Linked DNA regions of Ovis aries. The protein of the gene in region 1 interacts with the protein of each later gene in a biochemical or structural test. Links are inferred from orthologs where the notes say so. Each region holds a gene or a part of one and is shown in the gene's direction. Other genes may lie near its edges.

Region 1 (4,234 bases):
GCTAGCCACTAAGTGAGCCAAGAGGGTATGAAGGCAAGTGTGAGAGAGACAGGGAGTGGCCCTTGGGAGTGGGAGGACAGGGCACGGTGTCTAATCTTGGGATGCTAGACGTGTTAGGGAGGAAAAAATCACGTGGCACAGAAGTGACTTTGGCCCCTGTTGGCTATGTGTTACACCCAGGAATTCAGTTTGAATTCTGGCTCTGCCAGTTGCTGGCTGGGTGACCTTGGGACTTTGAAGCTAGACTTTTTCCTACCTGTAAAACAAAGATAATAAAACCCACCATGAAGGTTTGTGAAGGCCAAAGAGAACCATTTAACTGAAGGTTCTTTGCAAGTTTTTAAGCACTCTAACCTGTGAGTCTTAATTTTAGGGCAGTCTTGAAGGAGATGGTGGGGCTTCCCAGGTGTCTCAGTGGTGAAGAACCTGCCTGCCAATGCAGGAGACACAGAAGATGCTGGTTCAACCCCTGGGTTGGGAAGATCCCCTGGAGTAGGAAATGGCAACCCACTTGAGTATTCTTGCCTGGAAAATTCCATGGATAGAGGAGCCTGTCAGGCTACCGTCCATGGGGTTGCAAAGAGTCTGCCACGACTGAGCACGCACACACTTCTAGAGGAGATGGTGAGTCCTGAAGGACACCATGGAATGCCTTCTGACCCTCCAGCCCACCTCTCTCAACCCATCCCATCCACACGTGGCAGCATGTCTGCACTCACATTTTCCCAAAGGCACCAGCCTCACGTGGTCCTTACGCTGCCAATTCTTGGTCTGAAATGCCCTTCCCCTGTCTCTTCCCAGCCTACTCTGCTCCTAGGCTAGAAAGGTCATGCCCTCCCTTGTCCCCCCTCTTTTCATGACCCATGTTATGCACGTACCCCAAGTCATGGTCTTCATTTGTGAGAAACTCCCTCTGCCAAGCTCCTGGATGATGGGCCAACTTGTTCATCTCTGTTCCCAAGCATGAACGTATGTTAATTCATTCAAGAGATGTTCTTGAGCTCCTCTTACAGCCAGGCCCTCCTTGTCCTAGGTTCTGTACAGAGATAGTCTCTGTCTGCATGGAACTCATTTACTGGGGAGGGGTGGGGGGCAGATAGTAATGAAAGTCGGAAAGTTAGTTGCTTAGTCATGTTCAACTCTTTGCAACCCAAGGACTATAGCTCACCAGGTTCCTCTGTCCATGGGATTTCCCAGGCAAGAAATACTGGAGTGGGTCACCATTCCCTTCTCAAGGGGATCTTCCTGACCCAGAGATCAAACCCAGGTTTCCTGCATTGCAGGCAGATAGATTCTTTACTGTCTGAGCCACTAAGGAAGCCAGTCTTTTAAGATATCATGAGTACCAAGAAGAAATAAAATGTAGCACCTGGATAAACACATAGACACCAAAGTAACTGCACTTGTCTTCAGATGGGACATTCTATAGGATTGGGTAGAGGTCCTGGTAGCCTGGCCTCAGGACAGGGTTTTTCCCAGAACTGGACAGGGTGGGGCTCACCCTACATTGGTGATCAACTTGTGTTGTCGAGATTAGGGCCCTGGAAAGGCCCCTTGAGATGTCATGAGAGACTCTCTGAATTGAAATATAATGTTGGGCAGGAAGGAGGAATAAGGGCAGTGCCCCAGCTGCCCCACCCAAGGGTGGGTCTGATCCAAGGAGCCAGGCAGCACTGCCCCGCCCTCGGCCTGCCCTTCTCTCTCCCCAGGGAGATGCAGCTCTTACGTCCATCTGCGTGCTCCTTCACCTTGCTGCCCACAGCCCCCTGGACAGACACCCAGCACTTCCTCTGAACTGGCACATGCTGGTCCCAGGGGGGATCTTCATCCACATGGCCACTGCTTGTTAAGCACCAGCTGTGTGGGCACCACTGGACAGACGCTGTTGGGTGGGGAGAAAACATTAACCAACACTGGGATTCATGACAGTTTGATGAGTGCTCGAGCAACAGAGCAGTGAAAGGAGGGACAGGTTCATAGGGCTGTAAACAAGGTTCTGCCCTGCTGACAGGGATCTTGCAGTCCAGCCAGGAGACACACTTGGTAGAAGAGAGGAAGGGCTGTGAGATCTGCTTGAGGGTTGAGGGTTTGGAAATAGCCCAGAGCTGGTGACTTCTGAGCTAGTAACTCGTGGGATGGAACATTTCATCAGCTGGAGGAAGGAGGGGAGACAATTGCAGGCCGAAAGCAAGAGACAAAGGCGGGACAGAGTGGATGTGGGATGGGTGGAGACAGGAATGCACCGGCCGACAGAGCGCCGGAGTGGGAGTGCCGAGAGACGGGCTGGGTTGTAAAAAAGCTCTGGCTCTTCGAGAACAGAGGGACGCCCAGCCTGTCTGGGCTGAGCTCTCAGCCTGCCATGCTTGGAGTCCCCTACCCTGGCAGGCAGCCTGGAGAGCTGGGCAGAGCCCGGCCTGGAAGTCAGAGGAGGCCTGGACTCCGGCCCAGGTTCAGCCACTACACTGTGCCCTCTCTCCTGGCCCCAGTTCCTGTCCCCTATAAGATGACAATGAATAATAATAATAATTCTAGCTATCATTTACTGAGCCATCACTCCCTGCCGGGCACTCTTGTAAATTTCTTACAAGTACTGTTGCATCAAATCCTCACCCCGACTCTTAGAGGCAGTTTTAGTATCATCTTCATTTCAGATGAGAAAACTGAGGTCAGGCAAGGTTGAGTGACACACATGGAGCAGGCAGTGGAGATGGGATCTGACCCCAGATTGTCTGGCCCCCAAGTCTGAGCTTCCCATCACTGCACGACCTTAGCTAAGCCCACCTTGCCTATCTCAGGACTGTTCACTGCTCTGTGCCAGGCACTGTGCTGGGTGCTGGGGACACAGCAGGGAACAGGGCAGGCCAATCCCTGCTGTCACAAATGTGACGTTCTGATAGAGGAGACAGACAATGGACAAGTAAATGTATTATAAAGTGAGGCCATCTGGGGCTGTGTGTTATTGGGTGAATAAAACTAACAGTGCTCAGTCGTGTCCAACTCTTTGCGACACCATGGACTATAGCCTGGCAGGCTCCTCTGTCCATGGGATTCTCCGGGCAAGAATACTGGAGTGGGTTGCCATTTCCTCCTTCAGGGGCTCTTTCCCACCTAGGGATCCAACCTGACTCTCCTGTGGCTCCTGCATTGGCAGATTCTTTACACCCAAGCCGTGTGGGAAGCCCGCAACTAACAGAGTGGAACTTTAATGATAGAAACACAGGGAACCCTCTGTGTGCCAAGAAGCATTTGAAGTTCGACACTTTTAAAACTCATTCCATCTTCATATTAACCCTATGGAGTGGGTGCCATTTTGTAGCCTGTTTTATGATGAGGAAAGTCAGACACAGAGAGGTTGAGTAACTTGCCCGGGGTCACAGAGGGGGAAGGGTGGTTAGTGGAGGGCACAGCAAGTGCAAAGGCAGGGTACAGTCACAGGAGACAGTGGGTATGACATGGTTTGAGACGTGAGGGGTTTAAATAAAACCGATGTGTAGGGTTTTATTGCTTTATAGAAATGACAACACTTTGACCCAGAAGTGGCTAAAGAATAAAGAGAAATTAGTGGCCTCTGTAACTGGAAAGGAGTAGTCAAGGAGCTGAGACAGAAGGGCCGGTGGACAGGCTGGGTGCACTGCTGTCTGTCTATGTCCTAGGAGGCCAACGGTCCCGCAGACGGCTATGCTGCGATCGCCCAGGCGGACAGGCTGACACAGGAACCCGAGAGCATCCGCAAGTGGAGAGAGGAGCAGCGGAAACGGCTGCAGGAGCTGGGTGAGGACAGGGCTGAGGCTGTGAGCCGGGCTGGGCCCCCTGTGTCAGGGCTTCCCGCTGCGGTGGTGGTTTGGGACCATCACCGTGTCGGGTGGGAAGCCTTAGAGTACCTGGGGCTTCTTAGTGTGGGAACTGGCTGAGGACGGGGCTGAGGGGAGAAGCCCCTAGGGCCGCTGTGCCTCCCCTTCCTCCTGGAAAGCTGCTGCTTATTCACTTGTTGGGGGTTGCAGATGCTGCCTCCAAAGTGATGGAGCAGGAATGGCGGGAGAAGGCCAAGAAGGACCTGGAGGAATGGAACCAGCGCCAGAGTGAGCAAGTTGAGAAGAACAAGATCAACAACCGGTGAGCAGAGCTATCAGGGCGTGAGGGGGCGGTGGGGACATGAGAGGAGCCATGGTGTGGGGGACTGTCACAAGGATGGGTGATTTAGTGGCAAGAACACGGAGGAAGGAGAAGCCAGACC
Region 2 (4,829 bases), on another chromosome or scaffold:
GACCTGATTCATTTGAAAAGACCCTGATGCTGGAAAAGACTGAAGGCAGGAGGAGAAGGGGACGACAGAGAATGAGATGGTTGGATGGCATCACCAACTCGATGGACCTGAGTTTGACTAAGCTCTGGGAGTTGGTGACAGACAGGGACGCCTTGCCTGCTGCAGTCCATGGAGTTTCAAAGAGTCCCACCCGACTGAGCGACTGAACTGACTGATTCACAGAACCTCCCACAGGATTGAACTCTCTCCTGGCTTGCTAGTGGAGGCCCTCGTGGGCTCTCACCTACTGCCGGAGTCTCCCCATTGGTTCCCTTCCTTCCCGTCGCCCCCAGAATCCCATCCACACGATGCCAGCTGGCAAAGCCGTCAGAGGCTCCCCAGTGCCTACATAGGCCCACCCCCTCTTCTGCTTCTCTATTGAATGTGTGAATTTTTATCAAAAGCTCTTAGTCAAAAAAAAAAAAAAAAAAGTAACGCCTTTCTTTACTTTGAGTTGCAAAAAGCATTTATTTTTAAAACATCAAAATTGGCATTTGAACAGAAAACTTTTAACTTTCTTCAGCATCTCGGCTAAGGATCTTACTTCCACCCCCTTCCATCCCCCCTACGCCTGTCGTCAGTACCTTGGCTGACGACGGAGCAGGATGGGAGGGGTGTCCCAGAGCCGGGGATAAATATTAAAATGTCCACATGGGTTTCTACCAACGAATACATCCTGACCAGATCCAGAGGGTGAGAGGTTTGTAAAGGTGTCGAGAAGTTTCCACTGACCCAGCCCAGCGCTCCCTGGTCTGCGAACATTACAAAAGGGATGGGCAGGGATTCGGGGCAGGGGCAGGACGAGGGAGAAGGCGGTGGGAGCCGCTACCCACGCCGGCCAGGTCTGCGACCCGCTGAACCAACCTGCGGAGGCCCGGCCTCAGGGCAAGCGCATCCTGGGACAGGGGCCGCCGAGCTGGTCCATCGCGCGCGCTCTTGTCTCCGGCCCGAAAAGAGTTAACAGGCCAGTCCCACGCGGGCCCGGATTCCCTGCGGCAGGCCCAACTCACCGCCAGCTTGACCCCCGCCCACCAACCAAGCCGGGACCTCGCGGCGCCCGGGGTGGGGTGGGGGGACTGGGAGAGTGCGGCTCGCTGGGAGCTCGCGGGTGCAGCCAGCGGCTGGGAGAGCCGCGCTCTGGGCGTCGGGGAAGGGGCGGGCTAGGGCAGGTCAGGCCCGCCCCCGCCAGGGGCGGTGGAGGCCGGTGACCGACAGGCCTCCGGGCCCGTCCCGGCGCGCCTGACGGTCCGGAGCGCCCTGCAGGGTAGGGCCGGGGCGGGGGCTCTGGAGAGGGCGGGGGCGGACGGGGAAGCCTCTGGGCTGGGGCGGGGCCTCGGCAGAGTAGCAGCGCTCTCAGCCAATGGGAGGCGGGCGCCTTCCCGTTAGCGCCGGATCCCAGTGGATAGGGAGGGGCGGGCGGCGCCGTGGGGATCCCGGGGCGGCTGAGGGCCCCTGACTCGGCTCCGCGCGGCGACATGGACCGGATGGCCAGCTCCATGAAGCAGGTCCCCAACCCCCTGCCGAAGGTGCTGAGCCGGCGTGGGGTTGGCGCGGGGATGGAGGCTGCGGAGCGGGAGAGCTTTGAGCGGACTCAGGTGAGGACCGGGGCGGGGTGGGGGACACCCCCGGTCGTGCACGGCTGGGGCATCCCGCAGTGTCCTGGAGGGGACTCGAAGGGAGTAGGGATCTTGCAGGCCCAGGGAAGGACTGAGCAAGGGGGCATCTGGTGCGGTGGTCAAGGCGGTCTGGGAAGGTCGGGGACCCCGGGGCCATCCCGGCTGGCCTGGGGGAGAGGGCAGGGCGGCTCTGAGCAGCTGGCACGGTCCGCGCGGTGCGACCGACTGGAGCCGGTCCCGGCGGGGCAGGGCAGGGGTCACGGGGGCGGTGAGAGGGGAAGGAACGCGAAAAGGGGGCCGAATGGAAGGGGTGCCCCTAGCTGGGGAAGGTCCCTGGCGGGGGGGGGGTGGCGCTGGGGGTCGCAAGTGTGGCTGCAGAGAGTGGGGCGCTGAGTCGGGAATGTGAGGGCTGGGGCGCCCTGTACTCTCCGCTCGATCACTTCAGGACTGCGTTGACATTCCCCCCGTCCCTAGCATCCCCTTCCTTGTGCCTCTAGCTTGGCTCACGCCAGCCCCCAGCTGTCGGCCTCGGAGGACCGGACTGAAGGGGTCTGAGCCCGGAGGAAGGAATGTAGGAAATGCGGTGTGTGGCCGAGTTTGGAAGATGACCGGGGGCTGGAGGAGGGGGCCGGCCCAAGGACAGATATTGAGGGTCCTGGACCAGTGGCCCCGATTCGGGTCAAGTTGGGTTGTTCTGGGGTGCCCAGAACCCTGAATCGGGGTTTTGATTTCATCCCCCTAAATGTGCCTGACAGCTAATAGGCAGCCTGCCCTAAATTGTCCAGCCTGAGCAGGGCTAGGGGCCAAAATTCCTCACTGTCATCAACAAAAAGCCACAATCCATTTTTACCTCAGAGTTTTAATGCCTGGTGTATTGATTGGACTGAATAAAGCTGACATGTTTATGGTGTTCATCGGCTGGTTTGTATGCAAAATCCATTTCGAAGGGCACAGCACTTCTTTTAATCCCACTGCTGAAGTTGTATGGGCAAGTTTGTTCCTCACTCGCGCTCACTCTTGCTCTCGGAGTGAAACCTTTGAAGAGCCAGGGGGCTTCCGCTGCCAGAAGCTGGTTCTCCCGTTCTGTTCTGCTCCCCACCGCCCTCCCCAAACTTAGTACCATGTGAAGGAAGGGCAGTGGGGTTTTAGATAAAGATTGTGAGGTCCTGATCGAGTGTTCCATGTAGGGAATCTTGCAAAGAAGGAAACTTTTCATGAAAACCCAGGAGACTAATTCCTCTTCTTTTTCCAGGCACCTCTGGCCCTTCACAGGTGTGTCCAGGTGGTGTAAAGTAGGCAGTGTCCCCTCCCTAGGTCATCATTCTACCCCACACGGGATGGGAGAGAAGGCTCTTTACTTCTCTCTCCCAGGGTCTGGCTGGGTTTAAGCTTTATTTTCTAATTCTGTGGATTGGACCCCAGAAAGGAAGGAAGATGCTTGTCTGCTATGGGCATTATGCCCTCGTCTAGCTGCCTGGGCACACAAGGCTTCTTGCTCCAGGAAACAGTGTAAATCTTTCTTGTAATGGACAAGGAAAATAAATGGTAATTCATTCCTTTTAGAGTCTCCAGTAAAAACTGGAGCAATAGAGAAATACACATAAGAGTTTGACCCATTATAGTGATGGAAATTAGGTTTGTGAAAGTTTCTCTAGCTATCCAGGGACGTCCCAACAAGGAGAGTCTAGGTCAGTGTTAGGCAGTATCTTACATTCTGTGGGGCACTGATAATTGGCCAGATTTGAGCTAGTGGCGTGTGTGTGTGTGTGTGTGTGTGTGTGTGTGTGTGTGTGTGTGTGTGTAAGGGAGGTAGAATGAATCAGGAAAAGAGTTTCTGTGTTGTTGAAACTATTAGGGCAATAAGAGAGTGAAGAAAAGGAAAGAGAACAATTCTAAAAACCTCACCTTAGTCAATCTGCAAAAATGTGTATTGTTTAATGACTACTTACCCAATGTATGTGTGTGTTAGTCACTCAGTCGTGTCTGAATCTTTGCTACCCCATGGACTGCAGCCTGCCAGGCTCCTCTGTCCACAGAATTCTCCAGGCAAGAATACTGGAATGGGCAGCCATTCACTTCTCCAGGAGATCTTCCCAACCCAGGGATCGAACCCTGGTCTCCCTCATTGCAGGCAGATTCTTTACAGTCTGAGCCATATGAACATGAGTTATAAAAAAAATTTAATGAGTTAAGAGACCATGGAATCAGTGAAGGTGGGCGGATGATTGTAACTAATTATGTTTGGCACTTTTCTGAGTACTTTATTGTATCACCTTCTTTAATTTCAGTAAAGTACTGTGAGGTGATATTGACAAGGACCTATGAGGTGAGTATCAACCACATTTTATCTGGAGGAAATTGAGGCACAGAGAAGTTAAGTAACTTGCCCAAGGTCAGACAGCATGTTGTGATCCCAACCTTTAACCACAGCTCTGTGTGGCTTCTGAGTACTGGGCCGAGCACTGGTATGGGAACTGGAAGAGGCTGAAATTTGATAGCCAGGCACATGGAGGGGCTGTGGTCCCAGGCAAGTTTTCCAGCTTTTCTTAGCCTTGGGTTCCTTATTGCAAAATAAGGATACTACTTACCTCACAGGTTGATTATGGGAGACTAGATTAAATAATATACCTGGAGGCATTTTGTAAACTGGAGAGCACTGTGGCGATGATGATTGCTATAATCTGAGGAGGAGAGGGGACCAGAAAAAAGGCCAAGTACTGGGGCAGGCTGTGATGAACTGTTCAGTAGAGGGACAGAAGTGTTCCTGGTTAATGCAGTGATTACCAGGAGTGATTGCTTAAAGTCCAGGCTGTTAGGGTGCGAAGCGGGTGGGAGCCCTGCGAGGTCTGAACCCCATCCTTCAGCCTGAGCCAGCACTTGCTGGGGAGAGAGGAGGGATGGGGCATTCCAGGAGAAAAGGTATGGTCTGGAGGCGGGTGTAAATGAGATTCATCAGTTAAGGTGGACAGAGCAGAATAGGCTCCTCCCACCTCCAAACGCCTTGCACCTGCTCCCTGTCCTGTCCCCGCTTCCCTGTGACCCCCAGCACCCCGTGAACTTCCTGAGGGTGGGACGGTGTCTCACTCGAACTTCTGTCCTCATGTGCCTAGGGCTGGTGTTAGTGGTGAAGTGACTGTAGTCTTGGGTCCAAAGTGACGAGTTGGCCCCGGCCGG
Region 3 (4,849 bases), on another chromosome or scaffold:
TTCCTCTTTATAAGGGAGTAAGAGGAAAGCCTTGTTAAATACATCTTTCAAGTTCCCAGTGTCAGCTCCGGGACTAGACAGTGAGGAACCAGTGAGGTTACAGAAGGGGTCCAGCAAACAACATTCAGGGTTATGTAGGTGTCACCTTCCCACTTCAAGGAGTGTCCTTAGTTTTGGGTGATTTCACACCTATACTCTGAGAGGAAAGCTGAGGCCAGCAGAAACAAAATAACCATTTGAGAGCTACCTGTGATTTAAAAAGAAAAAAAAAAAACTTTAATTTTGTGACTGGTAATTTTAGAAGCAAACCAGTAATAATATTTAAAAAGAAAAGAAAAAAAAAAGGCTCACATCACCTCCTGTGGCATCTGCTGCATGCTGTCTGACGGCCCAGCTCTGGGTTGGTCCAGAGCTGTCTCCAGGCTGTCCCAGCCCTGCCTCTCTCGGTCAGGTTCTCAGCTCTAGGAGGGTCTCTGAAAAGTCATCCCACAGTCCCGCGTTGATTACAGCTGCAGTTACGTTACACTTGGGCTTCCCAGCTGGCGCTAGTGATAAAGAACACTCCTGCCAATGCAGGAGAAGTAAGACACAGCGGTTCGATCCCTGGGTCTGGAAGATCCCCCGGAACAGGGCATGGCAACCCACTCCAGTATTCTTGCCTGGAGAATCCTATGGAGAAAGGAGCCTAATGGGCCTCAGTCCATAGGGTCCTGCAGAGTCGGACAGGACAGAGCGTGCACACATGCAGTTACATTAGAGATGCACAGAGTGGACAGCCCAATTTTATGTCTTTGACACACAAAGAGAGTCCCCTGGACTGCAAGGAGATCCAACCAGTCCATCCTGAAGGAAATCAGTCCTGAGTATTCACTGAAAGGACTGATGCTGAAACTGAAACTCCGGTAATTTGTGCACCTGATGCTAAGAGCTGACTCATTTGAAAAGACCCCGATGCTGGGAAAGATTGAGGGTGGGAGGAGAAGGAGATGACAGAGGATGAGGTGGTTGGATGGCATCACCGACATAATGGACATGAGTTTGAGTAAACTCCGGGAGTTGGTGAAGGACAGGGTGGCCTGGCGTGCTGCAGTCCATGAGGTCGCAGAGTCGGAGACGACTGAGCGACTGAACTGAACTGACACGTAAAAGTAATAGAGGCCTGTTTAAAATGAAAGAAAAAGTGTCTAGATGTGCTCCCCTTGGTCAAGTTTCATTGAGGCCAGGTTTTCTCCAGTTAACCAGATCTTGGCCTGGTGCGGACAGGGCTCAGTGAGTCGGGGCGGAGTCTGTGTGTGCAGACGGAGGAGAGACGGGTGTTTCCGCTCGCACACGTGAGGCGTGGAGGGGCTGGGGGCCCCCCTGGCCGCAGCCTGTGCCAGCCACCCCACCAGGGCCGGGCCGGGGGCGGGCCGGGGGCGGGGCGATAGTAAAGCTCCTCCCCCAAAGGGCGGGCGTTGCCGTGCGGCGGGCGGCCTCGCGGTGCCTAGGCTTGGGCGGCCGGCCTGGGTCGCTCAGTCGCGCGGAGCCCCGCCAGGGATCGCAGGCGGCGGCAGGATGAACAGCATCAAGAACGTGCCTGCGCGGGTGCTGAACCGCAGGCCTGGCCACAGCCTGGAGGCCGAGCGCGAGCAGTTCGACAAGACCCAGGCGAGCGGCGGGGCTGCGGGCGGGCGGGCTGGCGGACGGCGCCTTCTCCCCTTCCCCTCACACACGTCCCTGGAGCCCGGCCTGCGCCCGTCCCCTTGGCGCCCCAGGCCCCTCGCTCCCGGCCGCCTGGGTTCCCTTGGCTGCATCTCGGTCACGGCCACCCCTGCTCCCCGGCCTCCGCCGGCCCGGGCGCAGGTGAACCGGAAGCGCGCGCCGGCGCCCGGGCCGGAGGCGGCGCGGGGGGCTGGGGTGGCCGGGACTGAGATGCCGCCGGGGACTGAGATGCAACTGAGGGGCCCAGGTGGCCCGGGAACCGGCCAGGTGTTCAGGGACTGAGATGCGGTCGGGGGCCGAGATGGCCAGGGGACAGCGGTGTCCAGGGACCGAGAGGCGGCCGGGGACCTCGGGTGCCCAGGGACCGAGAGGTGGCTGGAGACCTCAGATGGCCAGGGCACCAAAGTGTCCAGGGACTGAGGCGGCCGGGGACCGAGGTGGTCGGGAGCCGAGGTGGTGGAAAGGGATCCAGCTGGAGGGGGCCGAGACGCCGCGGTGGGCCAGGTAGGTCAAGGTACGTTTCGGGCCCGGGTGCGTCCAGCCCGGGTTGGCCCGAGTGGACTTATCCACCCTGGCCGCGCAGCGCCGCCCCCTCCCGGGCTCCGGCCACCTTTTTCCACGCCTTAAAAGAATGCCCTCTCTTCGGAGAAGCAATGCATTTCCTTCAAGGAAACTCAGTGCTTCCTTTCCTCCTGAGTTGTTTTCCAGGGCCTCACAATATCTTATTATCTGCTGGGTGAAAAGTTTCACGTATGTAGCCAGACTTGTTTGCTCGAGCCATTGGCCCACATATAAACAGGTTCACACCCCCTTATTAAATGCCGGCGCCTGACAGAAACTTCCTAGGGTTCCCTTCCTGCACTTCCCACGCTCAGGCATCTCTTCCTCAGGGTGGCCTGTCCTGGGAAGGTTATTTTAAAAATGAAACAATGACAGGGGGTGTGTATTTGTCCGTGTGTTCCTGCTGAGACCACACTGATGAGGGCGTTGGTGTTTCTGGTTTTCTGTTCCTTTTTATTTTGCAAACACTGAGGTGGTGTTCTGCCTGGGTGGGGGTGAGAGGAGCTTACTTGTTTATTCGCTAAAGTAAGTCAACCAGGACTGACACAACAGAAAGCTTTTCTTTAGAAATCAGCGGTGGACTTGCCTGGCGGTCCAGTGGTTAAGACTGTGCCCCGCAGGCAGGGGGCAGGGGTTCCATCCCTGGTTGGAGGACTAAGATCCTCCAAGAGTAGGCCAGAAAAAGAAAGGAGCTAAAAGGACCGAACTGACCCCTGTCTGAAGCCAGGTGGTGACATTTGTGTCTGCCATTATTAGTAAGGTTCTCTCAGTCTCTCCCTATAGGAGCAACAACTTCTGAGGTGTCTTTCAGATCAAGTTAGTACATGCAGCCTACGACAACTTTCGCTTTGAAGTAAGAGGAAATGCAGAGGAAACAGCTAACCTTTGTGCTTGAGATTAACCAGGAAAATGATAATAAAACCTTGGCTCTAGGAAAGCCTAGTGCTGAACCAACCTAGCCACAAATTATTAATTTATCCTTGTGATCATCACCATCCAGCCCCTGGTATATTTTCAGCCCAGATAGTCCATCATAAAAACAAATGTGGCATTTAATTTAAAGTCATTAATGCATAATTAACTGTGCCAGGAACTTTCAGAAGGATGGGGAGAAAAATTTAATTGGCAGAGAGAATCTGGATGTTGTCAGATGTTATTCATTCTCTGATTTTTAGTTTCTTTCACGCTTTTGAGAAGGTATAGAGAGGCCGGATTGCTACATAGAGGAGATGAAATTAAAGGGCTGAGTTCATTGATCTTACTCTTAAATTGTGATAAATCAAGGGCAAGCTTCCCGAATGTCAAAGAGAATCCCTGATACAGCACCGTATATTTTGATGGTTGGTTTGGTAAACAAGAGGGTGTTTTGTTCTTGCTGCTTGGTTTTTTCTCAGAGGCCGAGAGGGTTACTTATCATGAATAATTCTTTCTAATAGGTGAATCTCATAGGCTTTACCCATTCCAGGGCTCTTTTTTTTTTTTTCTAGAAAGATGAAGTTCAGGTTCACTGTCTAGATTTGTCTTCAGAATGAGTTACTGAGAGATGCAGGAATAAGGTTTTGTGCACGGTTAATATTTAATTAGATCGCTCCCAGAAATATCTAGTGAGCTGCTAGCCAGGCCCCATTGGAGGAAAGGACACAGAGAGCCGAAGCTGCTGCTTACAGGTCTCCTTCTGAACAGAAAATAGTGCATCCAGCCCTCGGACACTCCTTGCCTTCAGAATGCACTGTCCGGGTCTCCTCGTTGACCACAGTACCCTGTAGAGCAGAGGGGCATTTTGGCTTCCTTAGAACACATGTCCCCACTGTCCTGCCAGCCTCGCTATTCCTCCTGGGCTTATGGGTCAAGAAGAGGAAAAATGTGACTGACCACACCCTGTTTTGCAAAAGGGTTTCTAACCCCGCCCAGGTCAGGAAAGTGGAGGGAGGGCAGTCCTGCATCCTTCACGTTGCGGGTACTCGTGGTTGTTATGTGATGTCAGTGTGTGAGTGCCTGTATATTAATCCCCAGGGCGCCGTGCAGAAAGCTGGTCTATTGTTCCCCAAGACTTTATGGTCCCTTTGGTGATAAAGCCCCTTTTTAAAATGGAAGTGACAAAACTGTATTGGCGTTTTGTTGTTGTAGTATTCTGAATGCAGAATACTGTGGAATACAGCATCCCCGTGTTCTGAACATGAAAATCACCTGTATTGTTTCAAAGGCGGTGCAATATCACCGAAAGTCAGTGCACCTGTGTCCCTGGGCAAGGTGCTTAACTCCTGTTTCCTGGTCTGTGAAAATAGAGATAATTCCATCTACTTCCTTGGGCTGTTTCAAGGTCTAGAAACGATGGGGTGGGCTAAAGAGGCCCCCTCCCCGCCCCACACCAAAGATGTCCATGTCCTAATTCCTGGAACCTGTGAATATCTTAGCAGTCCTGGGTAAGAAAATGCTAATCAGAGGACCTTAATAATAGGGGGCATGGCCTGGGTTAGCCAGGTGGTCCCAGTGTAATTACAGGACCTTTAAATGTGGAAGAGGTCACAGGGAGGTCAGGGTGATGTGTGGTGAGGGGGACGCCATGGGACATTGCTGGCTTTAAAGC

What was found.
Region 2: the proteins of CLTB (region 1) and HIP1 form a complex in vitro, tested with the Homo sapiens proteins (2 studies listed by BioGRID, with this or other methods). The link is inferred for Ovis aries from reciprocal best matches to the Homo sapiens genes CLTB and HIP1.
Region 3: the proteins of CLTB (region 1) and HIP1R form a complex in vitro, tested with the Homo sapiens proteins (2 studies listed by BioGRID). The link is inferred for Ovis aries from reciprocal best matches to the Homo sapiens genes CLTB and HIP1R.

Annotation. Positions count from the first base shown.
Region 1 is NC_056058.1:35,582,697-35,586,930, reverse strand, and holds part of CLTB (clathrin light chain B), read left to right. Parts: intron 1-3,653; coding exon 3,654-3,771; intron 3,772-4,001; coding exon 4,002-4,113; intron 4,114-4,234. UniProt on the Homo sapiens protein: Clathrin is the major protein of the polyhedral coat of coated pits and vesicles.
Region 2 is NC_056077.1:34,460,498-34,465,326, reverse strand, and holds the start of HIP1 (huntingtin-interacting protein 1), read left to right. Parts: upstream 1-1,493; 5' UTR 1,494-1,514; coding exon 1,515-1,634; intron 1,635-2,209; exon of another isoform or gene 2,210-4,829. UniProt on the Homo sapiens protein: Plays a role in clathrin-mediated endocytosis and trafficking. Involved in regulating AMPA receptor trafficking in the central nervous system in an NMDA-dependent manner. Regulates presynaptic nerve terminal activity.
Region 3 is NC_056070.1:52,726,618-52,731,466, reverse strand, and holds the start of HIP1R (huntingtin-interacting protein 1-related protein), read left to right. Parts: upstream 1-1,513; 5' UTR 1,514-1,554; coding exon 1,555-1,647; intron 1,648-4,849. UniProt on the Homo sapiens protein: Component of clathrin-coated pits and vesicles, that may link the endocytic machinery to the actin cytoskeleton. Binds 3-phosphoinositides (via ENTH domain).